Linked DNA regions of Oryzias latipes. The protein of the gene in region 2 binds, or shares a complex with, the protein of the main gene of each other region. Links are inferred from orthologs where the notes say so. Each region holds a gene or a part of one and is shown on either strand. Other genes may lie near its edges.

What was found.
Region 1: ctnna1 (region 2) and cadherin-like protein 26 share a complex: the UniProt entries of both Homo sapiens proteins name them as parts of the cadherin:catenin adhesion complex. The link is inferred for Oryzias latipes from reciprocal best matches to the Homo sapiens genes CTNNA1 and CDH26.

Annotation. Positions count from the first base shown.
Region 1 is NC_019865.2:18,100,693-18,104,517, reverse strand, and holds part of cadherin-like protein 26, read right to left. Parts: intron 3,062-3,825; coding exon 2,946-3,061; intron 2,835-2,945; coding exon 2,781-2,834; intron 2,067-2,780; coding exon 1,953-2,066; intron 1,844-1,952; coding exon 1,793-1,843; intron 1,344-1,792; coding exon 1,275-1,343; intron 1-1,274. UniProt on the Homo sapiens protein: Cadherins are calcium-dependent cell adhesion proteins. They preferentially interact with themselves in a homophilic manner in connecting cells; cadherins may thus contribute to the sorting of heterogeneous cell types.
Region 2 is NC_019868.2:19,914,951-19,918,775, reverse strand, and holds part of ctnna1 (catenin alpha-1), read right to left. Parts: intron 1,771-3,825; coding exon 1,567-1,770; intron 1-1,566. UniProt on the Homo sapiens protein: Associates with the cytoplasmic domain of a variety of cadherins. The association of catenins to cadherins produces a complex which is linked to the actin filament network, and which seems to be of primary importance for cadherins cell-adhesion properties.

The DNA.
Region 1 (3,825 bases), on a different chromosome or scaffold from region 2:
CTCATTGTTTTTGGCAAAACCAATACTGAACATGATCAGAACCATGACGCTGTCCTTCAGGGGCTCAAGGAAGCTGGACTGGTGCTCAATGAGCAAAACTGCAATTTCAGAAAACCATCATTGCACTTTTCCTGATCAGGACTACATTGAGGCTGTAAGCTCCTCCTCCATCTGATGCTGCTTCACTGAGATCCTTCCTGGGTTTGGTTTACTGGTACTCCAAATTTCTGCCCAATTTTGCAACCGTTGTGGCCCCTATGCGTATCTGTGCCAAGGAAAAGAACACATTTACCTGGACCTTGGCTGCACAAACCAGTTTCGAGAAAGTTAAACACCTCCTGGTTACTAGTGCTGCTCTGGCACCTTTTGATCCAGCCCTACACACTGTGGTGCCCACCGATGCCAGCGACTGTGGACTGGATGCTGTGCTAGCTCAAGTGCACCCTGATGGCACTGAGAAGACAGTGGCTTTTGCCTCCCGTAAATCCCAATCACACTTGCCCATGAGAGTCATCAAGGAATCGTGCACACTAGAGCACTTGAGGGACCTTTATTGGTGGCCAAAGATGGACTCCCAAGTGCGGGCTGCTATAGCCTCATGTGTCATTTGTCAGACTAATGACAAAACAGCCCATACACATTCTGCTCCCCTGCAGCCTGTTCCACTTCCTGATGGACCATGGAAGAAGCTGGGAGTTGACATTGTTGGACCTTTTAAGACTGCTGACCCCACCTGCAGGTTTGCCATCGCGCTGACCGATTACTATTCTAAGTGGCATGAACTTGCTTTTTCACCTACTGCTCCCGCTAATGATGTCATTTGGTTCTTGACTAGTGTTTTCAGTCGACATGGTAACCCCAAAAACATAGTCACCGATAATGGTGCACAGTTTACCTCTCACGTTTTTGCCTCTTTTCTTCTTCTGTGAGACATAACACACAGCAGAACATCTGTCTACTACCCAGCTGCCAATGGGGCGGTTGAAAGAGTTCACCGTGGTCTCAGGTCCTGTATTCAGATTGTAATTCAGCAGTCCCTACCTTGGACAGAGATTGTGACAAACTGGCTCCAGGTGTACCGTGCAACTCCACATGCGACCACCTGCATCTCTCCTCATATACTACACTATGGTAGGAATGTGTCAACCAAACTTGGCATTCTTCCAATACCCCCTGCTGTTTCTCCTTTGGATAACACAAACAGTACTTAAAGTACTTCTGATTCTGATTTAGCTGAGATCAGTTGTTTAAGAGGAGAGAGGAGGAACTCTTACCTTTTTAATTTGATCAGGAAGAGGAATATTTGACTGTACTCTTGAAAAAGGATCCTGCTCTGATTGGTTCTGCAGACAAAGAAAACAGATGTCTGAGTCTGACAAAACATGTTTTATTCTTTTGAAAAGCGCTACACACCTTGTTGGAGTTCATTTTAGTGGTTGAGGACTAGTTTTAAAAAAAAGGTCGGCGTTTGTTGGCGAGTTTTAAAATGTATTTATATGTATTTTTCTAATAAACATAATAATAAACATAATAATAAAATCATTTCTTTATCAGAACACAGTGGATTCCTAAAAGGTTGTCGTAACATGATCGTGTTGATTAGGTTTTCATTTTGTGAAATCACTGATGTCATAATTGCTGTTTAAAAAAAAAAGGTGTGAGCGGTGTCTGAATTGTTTTTATAATCCAGAGCATTTAATAATCCCACACTAGATAGTTTTATAGTAGGGATTAGGGTCAAAATTCACATTGCCTAAATGTGGTACAAAAACTGTTAAAAAAATGTCCTCACCATGGAACGACTCACATGACTTCCACCGAGGTTTGGTTTGTTTATGCTCATCTGTGAAAGGTTACAGTAAAAGCTTGAAAGCTTAATAAATGACTAAAAGGTATCTGATTTGAGTACTCTTAAACATTAACATGAATATTTTAGACTTGATGCATCATACTTCAGTTTTGTTTTTAACCATAGATTCCTTCAACGAGTCTGAAGTCCCCATGCTGTACGCTCCTGAGCTGTACGTTTTCTTGTTGAGGGAACGTCCTGAAGACGTTGCAGACTTCTAAGAAAAAACAAACAAAAAAATACTGTACATCTCACAATAAGCCCTGGATTAATTAACCAAGGATGGATACAAATTGTAAGATGATAGGCAGCTTGCACTTCTTCAGATCTTCATTCTACATTTAAAGATTGCTGCAAACACCCAAAGCAGGAGTCTGCAACCTTCAACTCGACTTTTTACTGACTATAACTTAGGAACTACAAAGTCTTAGTTTCCCTTTTAGAAAGAAATACATAACTGATTTGTACTTATTTTATTGTTAATAAATTAAAAATGTTAATAGGCTGCATTTTTTTGGGCATAAATTCAACTTAAACAAAAAGAGATTTTTTTTCAAAATGTTGTCGGGTAGGTTACATGACTTCTTTTTAAAAATAAAATACACCTTTATAAGATTATCTAATTGTGGGAAATGTAGTAGTAGGCAGTATGATGTATGAAAAAGTTTGGGCACCCCTGACCATTTTACATATTTTCCTTCTCCTTCATTAATCATTGGTTAACTTCAGGTAATTATATCATATAGGAGACAAACATGGAGGGTCTTCTTTTAGTTTTGCAATGTACTTTGTGCTAAATTGTATGAAAAGAGATTATTCTCTTTTCTTTAGAGCCTGTTTAAGCAGCAAACATGAACATACTGTCTTTAAAAGAACAAATGGCTGCAGTGAAACACTGTCTGTCCAAACAGGATTAAGTTGTGAGGATTACCACTGTATTGTTGGTCTGGTTGATGGCATTAGGTCCAGTTAATTCAGTCGGAGCCTAACATAAAAAGAAAAAAAATGTTTTTTCATTGAAATCATGTTTTGAACATCAAACTTTAGCTAATTTAATAAACAAACAAAAAAACAAGAAACATCACAACCAACTCACTATAGGTTTAAGGAGGTGTCCTTCTCTATTGTATTTCACAAGTGTCTGGTATCCTTTATCTTCCGTTTGTTCAAACTGATGTTTTTTGCAACTGCATGAGAACCCGATAAGTAAGACTGTAAACAAATCATAACAAAACATACATTTATGCTTTTAAAAAACGTACTTCAAATATAGTGAATTTCATCTTTTCATTTGAAGACGTTTGATCTGTTTGTGGTCCTTCACATGCTTCTGAGATCATGATACTCTGATCTTTATACACAATAGATGAAATATTCCTTTATGTAAAAGTATCTCTCACAAAACATGTGACACATTACACATAAATCAAAGATGATCTTATAGTTGATTACCAACCAGATAAAGTTTAAAAAGATTTAATTACATGAAGGTCCAGTCAAAGTTGAAGTTTCCATAATGATGACAATAAAAATGTTAACATTAAAACTGTTCTTTTTTTTCCTTCAATAACAGATGATCATCATCAAATACATTGTGTACAAGACAACATACAAGTGCCTTTGTTAATCCACGACAGTTGATAACTTAAAATAATTTTTAACAAATTTTCACTTTAACATATATTAGATTTCACTAAGTTTATTAAGACAATAGAGTACCAATAGAGCTTTCAAAAATTTGGGAAACTAGTTAAAGCGGGAAATATTCACAAAAAGCAATGATAAATGATTATTTTTCAATAGTTTTTTTATTTAAAAATAAGCTTTGTAGAAAGTGTAAAGGTTGCTTAAAAAAGGCAAAATAAAGTAAAAATTACTCAGTTTAGTCATTGCTCTGCTAACAGATACATTTCTTTATTTCCTAGTGCACTTTAACTAAAACATTTATGTTGTTTTATTTTTTTTTTCTATGCAGT
Region 2 (3,825 bases):
ATGGAAGTCCCAACACTTTTAAACTTGATGGCGAAGGAGACATTAATAATTGTGGTTTATAGGGAAAGAGCTATGAAAACAAAAGGTCTGGAGCAAGATTTGCACCACTGTGACTTTGCTTATCAACCCTCTTCCTATTGTAGACGGCAGTTGAGCACTAATAAACAGTAAATACACAGAAGTCCGGTATGTCCCACACCATCTGGATACGCGTTCATAAACCATGTGGACCGCGCTATTGAACGCACCACACGCGGACGGTGTGAATGAAGCACTAAATGCAAGTTTTTGTTCGTCTTCTATGGTTGAGGGAGGGTTATACCGCCTCCAAAAGTTCCTGTTGTGCTTTGCGATGACTGTGGCTGATGGTTTTCATAACCATTTAAAATGCCCAGAAATCGTTGACATCCCTAGTGGACTACACAGTTTATTAACACAGAATAAAGCTAAAACAAAACCATAGTATTTCATCTTACAGTGAAATTTAAATAGAATAGTGTACTGCATGAAAGACTTATAACGAGGATTACTTTAACATACAACCAAACAAGGTTTACAGGCTTACTGTGGAGGGTGATTTCTAAATCTCAATTTAGCATGGCTTGGTGATTACATTCTAGATTGAGTACGTTCACACTGGCCAAGACGTGACTAAAAATGTGCAAAGGGCCAGAGGATTTCTGTATTTAGGACCAACTTTGCCTCGATTTTTATTCACTAAATGCTTTTAACAGATGCCTTCCGACAACTGTACCGTTACAATCAAGACAAAACCACTCAAAAACTGCTGAAGATATGACAAAATGTACAGGTCCTGCAATGGCCCCCAGACAATTGTCGGGGGGTCCACTGCACAGGCTTTGTAACCAACCGGTCGCAGATTTGAACGAAGGACAGCCAAAAGCCCTGTAAACACATTTATCTCTATCCAAATTAGTGTGTGCACACGCCAAAAAACTGAGCCGTTTGGTACACCTTTACAAAGTGTTTCTGAGGTGTAGGATGTTTAAATCTGCCCAAACTTTCAGACATAAGTAACTATAGTTCAGAAGCCCCAAAATAGTTCTTCCGCCCCCTTTATTGAAACTTGATTTGGGTGCATTTTTTTTTTGACAAGTGAAACCTCTGAAACTATACTTAAGTCAATGCTTAGCCTAAAAATGCAATATCAATTTTATGACAGTGGATGAATTTTAATTTAAAGAATTTATGTGATATTTATCAGGTTTTCTTTATGTTTTTATTAGATTTCTTATTTTTTAGAAATTTTCAAGCTTTAAAAGTTTTACTTTTGTGCAGTTTAAACCTTAATTATGTACTTTTTTGAGGAAAGAGAAAAATCATAACCAAGCAAAATGGGGTTGGAACTTTGAAACAGGAGAAATTAATCAATATTTAATAAAATGGTATTGAACCATAAATCAAATTATGAACCCATAGATCTCAATCAAGTCAGAAATGCAGCATCTAAACGCACCTTTTGTCACTAGTGATTAAAAAGAGCAAACCAAACTTAGAAGACATAACAGCACATCAAAAATGGGGGAAAAAGTTAAAGACACTTACATTTCCCATGTACTCGCTCAGAAGGTCCTGTAGTGCTTGACGCACAGAGTTGCATTCCGCCACAATGCGCTCCCTGCGGTCATCACGTGTGCAAGAGGAATCAGCCATGAGGGCAGCTCCACTAATAATGCTTTCAAGGCGCTCCTCCAGAGAAGGACGAAAGCGCTCCTCGCTGAACGCCAGAGGGTCAACAATGATTTGTTTCTGTCAGGAAGACACAAGAAGAAGAGATTTAAAAACAGAAAAAGAAAATGGGTGTCTTGTTGCCAGGGTAGGAAAAAAAAAAGCACAGAACTAATATTAAGATAAGACTTTAGTTATCCCACAAAGTGAAAATTCTTTTGACTACAGCAGCAAAGTGACATTCAGAAATCAAAGTAACATTACAACTAAAGACAACATTGTCTTTAGCAGTAATGTATCTTTTAAAAACCGTTAAGGGTTACCATTTAAATGAATGGAAAACATTTAGGAGGCAAGTCTTAGCAACTAAGGATCTATTACAAAAAAACAATTAAAATATGGAAAACAATCAGAAAAAGAACTTCAATCACACTAAATCTATACAGATTTAAAAAGATCTTTATATCTAGAGTGACAGTCTTTTTTTTTTTGGAAATACACTTAAATATTTATACTAACAATATATTTATATCAACAATTCATTGCCTCACATACTTGGGACAAACATAGAATTGCAGTATTTATAGAAATGAACCAAAACCAATTTGGAGGAAAATGGTACTTTTATTTGCTTCAGTTAAAATATAATGAAAAATATTTCAATTTAATATTTCAGGTCGTAAGAGTTTCAAAATTGCTAAATAGCCACTGGTTCAAAAGTTTATTTATTCTGTAGTTTGCTTTAACTATTCTCACATCAATTGAGATTAAATCAAGCAGCTTTAGCCACCAAGTGTGGTGGTAGATGGTTAGTCAAATGGTTGTAACACCTACAGTTGCACACATTTTGTTGAATGACCAAATAACTCCTTGTTGATACAAATAATGGAAAACAGCTGTTGGATTGTTAGATTTTGCGGTTTCTTTAGACAACCACCTCCAGCTCCCTCTATTCTGTCTTGTCTGGCCTCCTCTGTGTGTCATATCCCCATGACAACAGGCATTTGAGAGAGACATGGAGGTGGAAGCCCAGAGAAACAGCACCACTGTTGACTCATTTCCTAATTTTGCCTATGGGCTCTTATACACCAAACCTATTTGAAGAAATGAAAAATCTGCTCTTAAACACAACTACAAGCATTACAGCAAAAATGTATGATTTGCATTCAAAGAAACCTTTACAGAGCAGACTAAAGTGACATAACTACAGCAACAGTGCAGTAAAAATCACTATGCAGTGTGTAGATAAGGTGAGGTTGTTCTTTTTTCAGCAATATCTTAAGTCTAGCTTAGCTAGACATGTTTAAATATTTTTTTTTTTTTACCATGGATGAAATTAAAATATCCAACTGTCTAAATTTAGTGATGCATAGATTTTTAGAATTTTTCCCTTATTACTTGCTTTTACGATTAAAAAAAAAAAAAGCATTTTAAGAGGATTAAAGGAAATTAGGTCATTAATGCTTACAGCTCACTTACAGGGCCAAACAGTCACAAAAAACCTCTCTCTCACTGACAGACCTGGCACATTTAATCAGTTTAATACAAAGGACCAGCATGGTCCAACAAAGCTGATGGCACAATACAGAGTGAAACAAAAAAAACCTGTGAAAACGTGTACTCAATGATGCATTCACAAACACTCAAGATGTTCCTGGCAGCTGATTTCTGGTCAGAACTCAAATGCTTTGCTAAGATCTGTTTTTTTAAAGACTTTTTTCTTAATGAAGCTAATTTTAAAAAAATGGTGCAATAAAATGGCATTGATAAACCAGCCTTGCACTGTTCTCAACGTTTAAACAGAGGAGCTTTCAAGGAATTTTCTTTAAAGATTCCAGTATCATTTTACTATAAGGAACAAGCTTTTCAAGAGTAATTTTCATTTTTCCAAGTGAAGGTAGGTCAACTGAGAAACATGAAAGAATATTGACAAAACCTAATTTTATAGTAAAACATTGACATTCTCCTTTAAAAGAATCATCATTAAACTTTCCTTGGTGACAGTGACTGCTAAGGATAGTTCTAAGGAAGGCTTCCAGAGCAAATGTGGAAAATTAAGCACAGAATTCTAAAGCTGCGTTCACACTGAATGTGATTCATGCATCAAAATTTGACAGACATGATGAAAGGTCCTGC